3 linked regions of the Drosophila melanogaster genome follow. Changing the gene in region 3 together with the main gene of any one other region gives a genetic interaction. Each region holds a gene or a part of one and is shown on either strand. Other genes may lie near its edges.

Region 1 (4,748 bases), on a different chromosome or scaffold from region 3:
TTTTTGTTGCTATTAATTACAAGAAAAGAGAGACGAACGCGACGCGTAACACTTTCGTTGGCGGTTTTTCAAGACTGTTGCTTATTGGTTGGGTTTGGGGGGGAAAAATGCAATAATTTCACGTATTTCGCACAACTGCGTCACACCAACACACAGACAACGGCTGCAAACTGATTTGGCGATAAGCTCGCTTTTGTTTTTGTTGTCGCACAAACACACGGACGCAAATTAAGGCAGGCTTGCGAATTTCAAGCGCAAAGAGCGACCACCAGAAGCGATTGATTTTCGCCAACTAAATCGCGACTCGCAGCGTGAGCATAACGGTCTAGCTCCACATTATCAGTATCAGTTCGGATGGAGCTCTCTCTCCCGCTCCGCTCTCATCTGCTGTTATCATCCGGCGTTGTTGTTGTCAGACTGACCGCATTCCCCAGCGCCTGTATCGACTGGCCAACCATCTCGAGGTCTCCCCAGGCCAGGCTGCCATCTGGTCACACTTAAAACCAGTTTTCATGGTGGGGAACACATGATCAAATCTCACACACATCCACACAAATACAGATACAGGTGGTCGTGCTGTGGATGTAAGTGTGCGAATAGGAAGTTTTTGGCTGCGCCCCCCTGCAAATTGTATCGCCCAATTTTTTTTACAGTGGATACTGCCTATGAAGACATTTCCGTGTGCTTGTTATCTCTACTCCTGAAAATCGAGTGCTCTCCTTAGTAATATTATAATCAATCACAATTACAAAAAATTATTAAATACTAGTATTTCGCTATTTAAATAATGAAACCCCTTTTATCTGCTTATCTGTTAACACTGTTGTTTTGCAGTGTTTTAGTAGATGTCTGTATGTCTGTCTTCTTTGTTGTCATTATTATGCTCTTTTAATATCTACTGTGATAACTTTTTATTATTTCACAACAAGCTTTTTTGGTTTGCACGTGCTTTCTAATGATTTCTATTTACTTAGTGAGACTAGGAACTAGGAAAATAAAGCTGACGCCTCCTATTTGGGAAATAGAATCCTGTATCTATCGGATAAAGTTGAATTTTTTATTGTTACTCAGTTCAAGATTTTTGTGGCTTTTTAAATTTTTAAACGATCGTTTAACCTGCTAAATACTTTCGAGTATTCAGTTGCTTGCGAATTACATAAAAACTTGTATACAGTGAAGGTCGATTACCCCGCTTAATTAAGCACGATTCGGCGGCATATTCTTGAAATATTAATTAAAATTTCAAGCCGATTTTGTTTCTTTTACTTAAACACGACGAGTTTTTAATGGCTGAAAGTATTTATTTTTTGGGGTTTTTATGCTCGAGGTTGCTTTTTAGTTTTTTTTTTAAGATTTAATCAATTATGTGATTACTCTTTAAATAAAGTTTCTAAATGTCCAACAACTTTTCTATAATCAACTCAAACAAAAATCGTTCTAAAACTTTTAGGTTTTTGTCTTAGCCATCACGACCATAATGTCTAATAATAATAATGCTCACCTCCTTCGCAGATTGTCGGTCTGATCGAGCGACAAGTTGGGGCTGCTGCCGTGGTGTCGCCTCCGTCCGTGTAGCTGTTGTTGTTGCCGGGAGGCGGCGGTGACCAGATCATCGCGACTTTTGCTCAGACTGTCGCTGAACGGTTGCATTGTCCAGGATTGGTGTGGTTTGGGTATGTGTATTGGTGGCTCTATGATCGATCCTTACGACATTCTGGTCAATAAAGCGGTTGCTATATGGAGATACCACGAACATTAGTATTTTTTGGCTGGGGATTTCCTTTTCAGACACACACACGCGCACATTCGTTCGCAACCTCTTATCAATGAATGACGAAAATCAATAAGAAGCAAACGACGTCAAACGGCAAAGGGCAAAAGGATATGCGAGCAGGAGCGGGAGCGAGACAGCAATAGCACCCACGCAAAAAAAGCTATTTAAACACACAAACACGGGAAGAAGAAGGGTCGATTATTGCACTTGCTGCCAATTCACTTTGCATTCCGCTTAAATGTGGTTTTCTTTCACTTTCAAACTGCAGGCTGAGCTATTTTTATGATGCCTTTAAAAGGCGAATTGCACAAAAGAATAGGCGCACACACAAGCTCACATACAGGTATTCTTTTTATTTGTACACAGAAAAAAAAAGTAGATATCAAAAAATGTATTTATATATTGTATCCCATTTTTGTAAGTTAGATGCTTTTCCAATTATTTTTGAGATATAGTACAGAATCTTTTTCTGTTAAAAAAAAAATATAATTCGCCAAATAATATTACTTTATGATTATTTTTTTTCTCATTTGAATAATATCTTTTGCTTTTCAAAAGATAAACATATATTAGAAGAAAAGGCACTTGATATCATTTTTTCCTGTGTACAACTCCACTTCTTGTTGTTCTTTTTTTTTTTAATTTAACTTGGCCAAAGCTAGAACATAACAAAAACAACAAACATAAATGTTCCCACACACACACCAGAGTACATTTCTCGCTATTGCTGTCTCGTTCACACCCACCCAGTAGGGCCCTCCCCTCTTGCTCGCACCAACGACGGAAGCCTTACAGCGCAGCTTTGTGCTGTTGCTGCTTCTTCTTCTTCCTCTGCTGCTGCCTTTTGCTCGCTCGTTCGCTCTTTTGGCCAAGAAAATCAATATAAAAATTCTTGTATTTGCACATTTTTCACACACTTTGCTCACTTTTCCAGCAATTTTCCACTGCGAATCGTAGTGATTGCATTGATTCGTACTTTATTCAGCCATTGGCGAAGAACTTTTATTTGATTTCAGCTTGAAATGGAACAATTAAAGACTGGTTTTCTGCTCTTCTTGGAGTTCCGCTGCGAAACGCGTTTATTCCGACCAACCGTCCGCACCAAAGGTAGATACAAATCGACTAAAAAGCAAAAACTGGCTGCTGGCTCTGCTTTGGCTTTGGCCGAAACCGAGTTCCAATCCGCTCTCTAGCGCTCTCTCTTGCGGATTTCCTCCACCAAAACCAGTTTGGAGCGCAGGTTGTGTTCACTGCGCAAGTGTGCGGGAGAACGCGACTGCGCGGGATGGCCAACCACAAACAGACATCAACTGCCAAGGCACTGGGTCGTTGTTGTTGCTGTCGCCTCTCCGATTATCCCCGTTTTTCTTTTGCTCACCACACTCTACTTGATAGTGCCAATGAAACTGGATCTGGCTTAAAAGTTTAATAAAGCTCTCGTCAGCGACGTGCACGATCGTGTTCAGTGCCTAAAAGCGCTCATGGCAGCTGCTTCTGAGCTTTTAGCAAAATAATGCTTAAAAAGATAATGAAGTCAAAAATAAATAAATTAAATAATTCAAATCAATGAAATTAGATGTACACATTTGTGTGTCGTTGAATATCTAAAACCTCGCTTTTACCACACTCTTTTTCATTTCTATTTTTATTTTCTCTTTCGAATATTAAGTACTAAATTTAAGAATACTATTAGCAACTTTTGGAAACTTTGATCTAAAATTTTGAAAGAACATCTGAAAGTAGAAAAATTTATTATTAGACAGTTTTTTATACTAAATGTGGGTATTAATTTTATTTAAAAGTCAGCTTCTTAATAAATGAAATAAATAACTAGATATGTATGTATGTATATCTATTTAAGGAAAGTCAAAAACTTAGTGATACTCTTAAAAAGAATGTATGTATGTATTTTGATTTTGTTTTATCAATATATGTTATAAAAGCATGAGCTAAGTTACTTAAAGTATGATCTTAATACTTTTTCGCTTTATACACAAACAAACATACATACATATAAAAATTAAACTTTAAATTGTTCTTAAATGCAATTCGCTTGCGTAAACAACCTATCAGCTTATCAGTCTGTACGTCATAAGCTGGGTATGTAGTTAAACTCGGCACGTCATCAAAGAATTGCTATACAAGAGCAGAGCTGTGAAAACGGTGTCTCCGGATTTGTGTCGAATCCCATACCCCTGCTCCTCCGCTTTCGCACAACAGGTAGAGCACGAAAATGAAAATAACATAGTGCAGCAGGTAGCATAATTTCTACATAAACAAAGATGACTCATACCCACAGAGGACTGATCTCTTTGGAGAACATGTTAGTGGGTGGGGGCTTTTCTACATCGTGGAAAATACTTAGCGAATTCAGCGATCAATTGTATATTTACATAGTTAGAATTTCCATAGCATATATTCAGCGATCAATTGTATATTTACATACTTAGAATTTCCATAGCATATAATATTCATAATAAATGTCTCTACTATGAATTGGAAAAGCATTATTCTATACACGAAATATTTCGAAATTAACAACTTATTATTATGTTACGTACATATGTATAAAAATATTACCTTTATCACCCATGATAACAGCATAACGCCATAAGTATATAAGATCTTTTTGTCGCGGTGTATCCTTACCAATCACACAATCCACTTTTCCCTTCTTAGAGCCACCTCCCCCCTTCCACGTTATCAACAAATACCTTTTCTTGTATGTTCTGACCAATAAATTGTTATGCTGCCTGCGTGCGGCTCAGGCGTTTTCTTTTGGTCCATTGCGCATGAGTCATAGGGTTTCACGCATTTGAGGGACACCGAGGGCCAGTATCTCCCAGGGTTCCAGTTCCATGTCCAGGGTGCAGGTTCCATGCCCGTCAATCAGTGCCACTTGCGAGGGGGAGGGGGTATATGATCTCAACACAAGAATTGCCTTTAACAAGTCTAAGTTAAGGGTAGTTGAGGA
Region 2 (4,658 bases), on a different chromosome or scaffold from region 3:
GTCCTTGAAAAGTGCGACCAGGTTACAGCCCAATTAGTTGGCTAATCATTGGGCTTTCCCTTTTTCCTCTTGTGCAAAGAAAAATGAAAATTTCTGCGATTTGGGGCAACTGTACTGCGCCACACGCACACTAGTGCGTCAACAGCTGATCGCCCTGACAGCTGTCAGTTGTTTTTGGCGCTAAATTCAAATCGAGATCATATTTAAATGCATTAATAGTTCCTTCGATACTTATATTTACGCAAAAATCATCATTTGGTTAATTTTATTAATTTCCTAAATTATAAAATTAGGAAATAAATATAAAATTTAGGAAATTAATAAAATTAGAGTGAGAAAAATCTTAATTAATCACTCTTAATAATGCTAATTTGAATTCCACTAAAGTTTCGTACAATTTCACTGATTCAGCCAACCAAGTCTTCATTGTTATCTTTTATTTCCCATATCAACGTACTCAATCTGGCCCAGACAGCTCCTGTCTTCAAACAAAGTTGCTTAGATCGAAATTACCCATCTACGTTCAATTGGGGAGATACCTTGCTATGTTTTTAATTCATTTTTATTCATATCAAATATAAATGTTTGCGTGTACATAAAAGTATGTATGTATGTATAAATCTTCATTGTATTATCTTATCTCAAATTTGTGGGTTTTCTATTGGCAAGGTCTCGCTTATGCATACGGAAGTCATCTAGTGGGTAAATGGGTAACGAATTTCGTCAATGATAAGGCCGAAATGGGCATGGGAAAGGCAGGGGAATGAATGAAAGGGAGTCGGGTGCTTCAATATCCATCGGGATAATCGCACGCGTCAGCTAAAACTAAACTTGAAGTGAATTGGAATCCAACGTGAATGATTGCGGGCGATGGTTGTACAACCTCTGTTGAAAGTTCTTCTTCGAAGGGAGATCTCTTCCTAGCCAGCCTTATTGCCGTTCGGCTTGTCGCCGAAGCGCAGTATGCGCGTCAGCATGGAGGTGAGGCACGGTATTTGCTTCTGGCGATCCATCATCGGTGTGGCGGGCACGTTCGACTCAAAGTCTAGGGCTACGCGCTGGTTAACGAATGTAAGCAGGGTGAGCAGGTCGTACTTTTTGCCATTGGCGTTCAGCTCGCGGATCAGCGATTGCATGTACCAGGAGCCATTGTTGATGTTGCGCCAGGAGAAGTAGCCTAACAGGACGAGATTGCTAGTGAAATTCACTAAAATAGTTACCTAATCATATTCCTTACCCGGAATGGTCGAGTAGGAGAAGAGAAAGTCGGCGTGTATGGGTATCTTGTAGCTCGTCGAGGACTCCCCGTCCGTCTCGGTAACGCCCTTCTCCAGAGTGATGCCTCCGTCCAAGCGATCGCCCTGGCAGGCTTGGATGAAGAACAGCTTCGGCTTGCCCGCCAGCGAGGGGCAGAAGGTGGCAGTGAAGTAGTGCCAGATGTTGTCCAGCTTGTACTGCGTATCCTTGGCGTACAGGTAGCCGTGCTCCCCGTGCGAGAGTATGGCCACCGCAAGGCAGTCGTTGTCCGTGTGGTCCAACTCGGCGGCCTTCCCCACGTGCTTCAGGATGTCCCTCAACTTGCAGTCCTTGTGCACGGACACCGCGAATCCCAGGTTTTCAAAGGCCTTTTTCAGCTCTTGGGCATCGACATTTGTTCCGGTGCGGCTCTTCAGCGAGGGTATGTCGAAGAATTCGTGGTTGAAGATCAGCGCAACTCCGCGGTGCTTGTGACTCATGTTGTATTCGCTTGCATATCGTTCCACGGGCATTCGAGCCACAAACTTGTTGGCCGGCAAGGGGCTGGGGAAAAAGAAATCAGAATTATAATAGCCATTTGGGAAGCAGCATGATAAGATAAGGTAATCGGCGAAATAATCGATGATTGGGTATTTATTTATGTAATTATTTTCAAATATATTTGTGAATAAGACTAAATAGAACAATAGAATTAAAGTCAAGTGCTTTCAAACTTTGTGACTTCAGCCATTTTAACAACATTATAAAGACAGATTGACACATTGATTTTAAATGTTGGCAATAGACAGTATAAATAATATAAAAATAATAGATTGTGGAATGAAAATGGAATAAATAAAAAAAAAAGAGCTTTATATGCTGCATTTGAAACTAGGATATAGCAGTTATGCCAGTACTTGCATTGATAACAAAACACAGAAACATAAAGAGAGAGATGGGAGAGGGAGAGAGCGAGGCACATGGACTCACCTCGCTGCAGTTGCACCACCAACAACAAGAGACTCCGGCGTACAGCCCTTGGCATCGGTATTATCAGCCATTATAAAGCTGCCCCGATTTTCCGATCCATTTGGGCTGCGAATGCCTACTCCGTAGTTTCTGGTTACGCACTCGTCGGTCATCTTGCGCCCCTTTTCTTGCTTAAGTTCTTGTTTTGATTGTTTGCGTTTCTCCTTGTGTTTCCTCTTGCCTTTTGTTCGCTCCCTCCTGCTCCTCCCTCGCTCACGCGCTGCTCTTTCCTTCCTTTTCTCTCTCCGCAGTTGTTGCGCCCTTTTTGGTCTGATTCTTGTTTTATTCTGACACTGCTTCTGTTTTCTATTGCTCTGCGTTGGCCAAACTTTGCGCAGCGCAGCTGTTTTGCGCTTCTCAGCCAGCTTTTGTCGGCTTTCGATCGAGCGAATGTCCTTTTATGGCTCACAGTCGGACGTGTTTAATCAATCAATTAACGGAGGTTAAGCGTGCTCTGAGCGGCGAAAACAAACTGCGATTGCATGTAGTCGTGTGTATGCACTTGCCGCCAAGCGGCGATGGCCGCTCGTCGATAGCACTAATCATCGATTGGTGGCCATCGATTAATTTGTAGAGGGTGTTCTGGTCCTCGGCGCCTTTGTTTAAATTTAAACTCTAACATTATATTGTTCATTTTAAGGGAAAGAGACATTTATGGCGTTTAATTTATTATGTAGCGAAAAACATATAGGGGTGTTCCACGAATATTACCTTATTATTTGGCTTAAGCACGGACTTCCCCGAATAAATGTAGCTTCCTAGTCACTCACACATTTATCTAATCTAACATTAAAAACAGGTCTACGCCGGCGACGGAATGCCGGGGCACATCTGTCTGGAGTGCCGCCTCCTCTTCGAGCACTGCTACCGCTTCAAGCAGATGTGCAAGCGGGCGGAGACCCTCCTGCGCCAGTATCCGCTCACGGGTAACTGGCCATCGCCGCTGGAGAAGCCCCGTGCGCCCATGACGATGGTGGCTTCCAAGAAGTTGTTGGTCGTGCCAGCAAAGACAGCCGAGCCAAGCGAAACGCCCAAAAAGCTGCTGAACACAATGGCCAAATCCAGTAGTCAGGTGATCATCGAGGACGTCCAGGTGCTGGAGAGCGCCATGGTGACCCCCAGGACGGTAGCCGGTTCCTCTCCAGTGCCACGTCGTTCGCACGCCTATGAGCTGAAGGTGGATAACAACCAGGAGCTGTCCATGGACGATGTGCAGAGCATGCTGGAGGATATGGCCAGTGAGCTAGAGAAGGAGTTCCCCGATATCCCCCAGAAGGCATCACCCGTCAAGCCGAAGGTGCTGAACAAGTCCTCGATTAGGATCTTGAACAAGGGACCCGCCGCTCCGGTGGAACCGCGCCTGGCCACACCCAAAGTCAAGCGAGATGATAGTGGCAATGTGGCCATAGTGACAGAGGTTCTGGACTCGGATCTGCCATTGGACGATCAAGATGATCCGACCAAGAACGCCGAGAAGGTGGCCACCGATGTGTTCCCCTGTCCCGATTGCGAACGCTCCTTTCCGCTGCAGCAGCTGCTCGAGATCCATCGGCTGAATCACACTCGCTCGCGCAGCTTCCAGTGTCTCCTGTGCGAGAAGAGCTTCTTCTCCAAGTACGACCTGGCCAAGCACAACTTTGTGCACACCGGCGAGCGGCCATTCAAGTGCGCCATCTGCTCGAAAGCCTTCACACGGAAGGCATTGCTCCATCGCCACGAGCGCACCCACACGGACGTACCCAAGTTCATCTGCGTGTACTGCGAGAAGCCCTTCCTTTCGCGCCAGGAGATGGAGAAGCACGCCGAGCGACATCAGAAGAAGCGTCCGTTCCAATGCGGTGTCTGCACCAAGTCGTTTGCCTTCAAGCAGGGATTGGAGCGTCATGAGGTGGGTTGACAAGCATATTTGGGATTGCCCCGGCTAACGATTATGTCCACTTTCAGACAGTCCACTCCACCAATCTTCCCTTCCCCTGTCAGCATTGCGAGAGAAGCTTTTCCACCGCTTCCAAGCTGGCCCGCCACCTGGTTGCCCACGCCGGGAAGAGAGCCTATCCCTGCAAGTACTGCCACAAGTCCTACATGCTGTCGCATCATCTCTCGCGCCACCTGCGCACGCACACGCAGACTTCCGACGCCTCGTTCGTGTGCAGTGAGTGCAAGGTGTCGTACAGCAACTATAACGACCTACTGGATCATGCGCTCATTCATGCCACCGCCAGCCTGAAATGTCCCATGTGTCGCAAGCAGATCGAAGATATCGACAGTGTCGAGAGCCACATGGACCAGCACAAGCAGAGCGAGCGCCATGCCTGCGAGTTCTGTGACCACATCTTCTTGACGCAGAAATGCCTGCAGCGCCACATCGAGGACGATCATGTGGTGGAAATGGA
Region 3 (4,965 bases):
CCCTACCCTCGACACTAATATTCTTGCCAGTGCACTTGTTTTGGTTGCGCTTCAGCAGTTCCAGTCCGATGTTAAACCGTTCCAGTAGATTGTCAAAGCCTCCCAACTGTCCGAAGCGGTTAATAAGATCCACAAGCCAGCCACGCGCATTCTTGGGCTCCGGCGGCGGACGGGCGTACATTTTGTTGCTGTCCAACTGACCCCAGATGTAGTCCGGCGCTGCGAAGCACTCCGGTTGACGGCCTGCGTTAAATGTGTTGAACTTGTTCTCCGGATCAAAAACAATAGCCAGCAAGTCAAGCAGATAGGGATTGTCTCGCTGCATGTGGATGGCGATTAGATGTAGAAGCTTGCCGCAAGACACAAGGATACAGTGGTGGATGTTATTCTTCCACGAATTCACCGCCTCGTCGGTTAGGATCTTGGCAAAGGAAGTGCTCAGTCCATTGCGATAAAACTCCACACATGGCTCGCAGTCGTGATCCACACCTGCAAATAAATTGACTTTAGAGGGTATCAAATAAATCGTTTGGACACACTTACCAGCCTGGGTCAGTTCGATGGCTGCATTTAAGAGAACCTCCAATTCCTGTTCAGGCAGCACCGGCACCACCCAACGCGGATTGGATATCTTTTGCGTTAGTGATCTCAGTTTCGTCGTGGGAAACGAGGATATAAGCTTCTCTGGAGGCCTATTTAATTAAATGGACAATTATTCAATATTAAAAATAACAAATTAAATAATACACATAAAAAAAAAAGTTCTTAGGGGGTCAATCAAAGCACACCCTTCCATAAACATTTCTGTTTATTAAATGGTTATTTCTATTAAAATAAATGCCAAAACGCATACATTTTTTTTTTTTTTTTTTTTGTAATTTTCAGTGTTAGCTTATTTTGATGGACAAGCGATAAGATAGGCCGTGGACGGGCATTCAAAATGAGATAGTAATAGCCGGGTAAGGTAATATTAGTAAAGCTTGGTAAGTTCATTGCTAAAACTGGACAGCAGCCAAGTGCACCTATCGAAGAAAAAGAAAGATAACATTTATTGCCACATTTATGGTCACTAACCAGTGGCCTGGCCAAAATCATCTGAAACATAGTTAAATGAATTACGAACATTGTGCTGGCCCAACCATAGACAAACAAAGAATGCATGTGGAAGAATTACTACGCAAAAGTAAACACACGAATGTTGGGGATCTTTAGGGGTGGCGGTCATACTGGTGCTACGCACAAAACCCGACTAATTGGGCGGAGTCATGCAAATACGGCAGCACGACCACTTACACTATTGTGATGGTGCTGTCCACGCTGTTCGCTGACAAGGAAGCGGCCACGTCATCAGAGCTCTGACTGTCTGTGGCCGGCTGTTGATCCTGGTTGCCGTCCAAGCTACCTGATCCTCCTCCTGGCAGACTCGAGTTGGCGACTGTTCCTGTGCCTGTTCCTATGCCCGATCCTGATCCGGCACTCTGCGCCGGACTCGTTGTGGTGGTTGTTGTGCTGGTGGTGCTGCTGCTTGAGCTGGGCGCTGTGCTTCCCGGCTGTCCGGTGGTGTGCCTACGAGTGTCGAACGTCATGGTGGCGGGGTATCCTCTCCAGCCAACTCGTTCTGCGGAGCACCGGAAGCGGATGTTAATGCACGAGCTCTAGTGCCGGGCTAATCCTAATGCGTTCTGCAGTGCGCGTCGTTTTTTGACTGGTGTCTTATGGCAAATGTGAGGTATCCGGGCTTCTGCTTGTCCAGTTTGGGAGTTCCCCGCTGATTTGCTGTTTCTTGAGGCACAGTTGGTCGGTTAGTTGGACTTCTTGCTCTGGGCTCCCTCTTATTGTCCTTTTTCCCAATGCCTGGTCAGCGGCCAGTTTGCAAAAATCTATAAAGTGCAACGAAGCGAAAGAGGCAATAAGAGGCGGATAAATACAGCGCTAAGAGAGAGACCGAAAAGGCCCACATGTGTACGAAGCTCAGTTTTGGGTGTGTGAGTGGTCCTGCGTGTGTGTAAGAGAGCGCTGGGTTGGAATATGAAAAATCAATATTATTTAATAGACGGGGCAGCAAGCGCCAAATAATGCTCCAAAAGCACACAAATTACGCTCTCACCCACTCACACGCACGCACGCTCACCCACAGAACCCTCTCTTTTTGTGTGTGCGTTTGAGTTTAATTTAAAATTGTTTTTGTTTTACGCCTCGCTCTTCATTCTTATTTATTTATTGTTATTTTTTTGGGCAAACAAAGAACATTTTCCTGCCGAAAATTACATCACGTCCAAGTTTACGGATTTTGCACTCACTCTCTATCTCTCTCCGCCCGGCATCATCCTTAAGCGGAATGTCGGTCGGTGGGTGGGAGCCACTGGTGGAAAAAGGGGCGGGGAAAGGGTGTAGGCGAAGGGTGGTGAAAATAACTACGCATAAAGTTATAGAAAGATGCCAAAATTAGCGGTTCATTGGGTGTGTCGAGGGCGGTAAATTGCTCACATTCTTTCTATAGCTTTAAAAGTTGTAAGAGATTAACGGAAGTCACCCAAGGACGGCGGCCAGTGCGGCTTTTTATTATTTTTCACTGTTTTTTCACGCGCACACACACTTCCTCACGCGCACGTACATTTATTTTTCGCAAATGGAATCGAGCGAACTGACGACCGAGTCCCAACTTTTCGCAGGCCTCAAAATGGGCGATTGCTCTTCCTTTCGCCTTTGCTCTGGACAGCGGGGAGCCCTTACTTGGCTGCGCCACTCGAAGCTAGTCGCGGTAACTATTTCGCGAATATTGAGCTTACAAATCAGCCGGCCAATAGACAAAATGGCGTCTGCCGTTGCTGTTGTTCTGCGGTCAACTCCAATTGCCATTGCTTTTTACCTGCCTGCCCGACGGCGAAGAGCTGCGTATCCTGCGAGCGTCGCGGTTGCGGCCACAGGGTTTTTTCTACCCGCTCGTTGTCCAATTCGCGTTAAATAAATTATATTTAAGCTATTTCTTTTGCTAGGGTTGTGCAGTTCGGGCGAACTAGTTATGAATTGAACCGGTTCGCGCGGTGCTTTTTACCAGAGTTATCAGGCCATGCCAAAAGCGCGCCTATCGAACTGGTTTATGTGGTACATATAAGGGACCCTAAATTTAAATTTCTGGCAATTGGGATTTCAAATAAAATCAAATCATTGAAATGCACTGTAAGAATGTACACTCTACTAGTCATGTTTAATTGTAAATAAATATATAAAAACATATAGTATTATTAATTTGATCAAATTAGAAAGCAGTCTTAGGGCCCATTATATAATCTGTAGAAAATAATTTCCTTATTTTTAATACATTTCGCATGTGCTTCTGATGTATTATCATTTTATAAATTAGTATTAATTTAAGTGCACGAACAACCTATTCGTTTATTCAGTGGTCCTACTGATAACGATAAGTCCGATATCGATAGGAGTATTGTTTTTATTTTGTTTAATGTAATATACAATACGAAGTAATTGTTTTGATTTCATGAGAATGTACGACGCGTTGGAACGCTGCCCAGGAGCCTACTGTGGGCGATCACCGCTAGGAAACAACAGCTGGAGCAGCTGCGGGGTCTGTCCCAGAGGATCTCGGGTTAATGTTCTAGCATCCTTCGGAACGGCGCCTGGAAAATAATTTACTTTTATATTGTTCAGGTGAACCAAAGTTACGCATGCTCTCCATGCCGCGACGAGTTAAGCACGTACTCCTGGCTATACCTGGGATTCATGACCATGCTGCCACTTATGATGCACTGCTTTTTCATTGACATGGACGCCAAGGATCGCAAGTGAGTGAACTAATCAAACTGGAAGAAGAACTTACTTAGTGAATTCACATAGGTTTTCGCGGAAGCAGCTGATCTTGACGGCCAGCGCTTTCGTTGAGGTTGCCATATCTGCCATCCTCGCCACCTTGCTAATGGAGCCCATGTGGGAGCTGCGCCTCTACGCCTGTGATGTTCGAAAACTTACTGACTGGTACACATTGTTTTACAACCCCAGCCCCAATTATGAGGCACGAGTCTACTGCACCCAGGAGGCAGTTTACCCATTGTAAGACCCAGCCACCCAAGGCTCCAGGTGTTCACAATAGTCACTTTAATGTTCAATTTCCAGGCAAACCATCGTGCTGGTTTTCTACTTTCTGTGCCTGGTGAACATGTTTCTCATACGCCCGCTAGTCAGCAAAATTATGGATGTGGGGGGCAGAAGCAAGGCGCCGATTTACTCGGCTCTTTACTTCCTGCCCCTGCTCACCTTTATCCATGCGTTAGGATGTGGGTTGATCTGTGAGTACTTAAGTGCTTGCTAATATTTTGGTCTTGAGATCTTTTCTTTTTCAGATTACTCCTTTCCGTACCTTAGCGTGGCCATATCCATGGTAGCCAATGCCATCCACTATTCCCTCAAACTGGATCAAACCCTAAAGGCATTGGTTCACTCGTCGGTGTGGGAGTTAAAAAACGTGGTCATCATAGGTAAGCAAAGTGCGCATTCACCATACATAAAGTATACCAGCAGCTTACTTTCCCAGCTGTGCACTGGATGTTGTTGGCCTACGGCCTCACCTCCCTGAATTACCACTATGCCTTTATGTGCTTGGTGCCCTTCCCCACACTGTTCTATATTTTGACCGTACGTTTCACGGATCCTGCCGAGTTCCGGGAGCTGGAGTCGAGAATTTGATGCGGCGACGTCCAGATGCAAATTTTTCACGCCCGGGGAACTCGTCGATCGACTGTTGTTATCTATGTGTAGTGTACGCGTCAATTAATTTATTTACATTTAGTATGTAGCTCAGACTCAGACCTGTTCCGAGTATAATTGCGGCTCTAAAAGCCGTTGAGAAACAAATTTAGGAGCAGGTCTATTTAGTGTTTTCGTCGCACAAGCTTAATTCATTCTTCGTTCTTTTCGTTTTAATTATATTTCACATTAATTATACACATA

Evidence for each region.
Region 1: of faf (region 3) and wnd, changing one suppresses a phenotype caused by changing the other (phenotypic suppression), as found in Drosophila melanogaster (one study listed by BioGRID).
Region 2: of faf (region 3) and Dcp-1, changing one suppresses a phenotype caused by changing the other (phenotypic suppression), as found in Drosophila melanogaster (one study listed by BioGRID).

Annotation. Positions count from the first base shown.
Region 1 is NT_037436.4:19,632,731-19,637,478, forward strand, and holds the start of wnd (wallenda), read right to left. Parts: upstream 3,054-4,748; 5' UTR 2,701-3,053; exon of another isoform or gene 2,692-2,700; intron 1,734-2,691; 5' UTR 1,651-1,733; coding exon 1,502-1,650; intron 367-1,501; exon of another isoform or gene 1-366.
Region 2 is NT_033778.4:23,549,443-23,554,100, reverse strand, and holds Dcp-1 (death caspase-1), read right to left. Parts: upstream 2,789-4,658; 5' UTR 2,379-2,788; coding exon 2,227-2,378; intron 1,801-2,226; coding exon 1,238-1,800; intron 1,178-1,237; coding exon 921-1,177; 3' UTR 554-920; downstream 1-553. Other genes in the region: pita, read left to right, coding at 3,065-4,153, 4,210-4,658. UniProt on the Drosophila melanogaster protein: Involved in the activation cascade of caspases responsible for apoptosis execution. Proteolytically cleaves poly(ADP-ribose) polymerase (PARP). Loss of zygotic DCP-1 function causes larval lethality and melanotic tumors.
Region 3 is NT_033777.3:31,775,087-31,780,051, reverse strand, and holds the start of faf (fat facets), read right to left. Parts: upstream 3,033-4,965; 5' UTR 2,870-3,032; intron 2,810-2,869; exon of another isoform or gene 2,488-2,809; intron 2,415-2,487; exon of another isoform or gene 2,301-2,414; intron 1,881-2,300; 5' UTR 1,587-1,880; coding exon 1,294-1,586; intron 693-1,293; coding exon 544-692; intron 490-543; coding exon 1-489. Other genes in the region: CG2126 (uncharacterized protein), read left to right, coding at 3,500-3,607, 3,670-3,803, 3,856-4,068, 4,132-4,304, 4,359-4,493, 4,550-4,701. UniProt on the Drosophila melanogaster protein: Ubiquitin C-terminal hydrolase involved in development and the imd/NF-kappa-B (IMD) signaling cascade. Required for eye and embryo development, and plays a role in compound eye assembly and oogenesis respectively.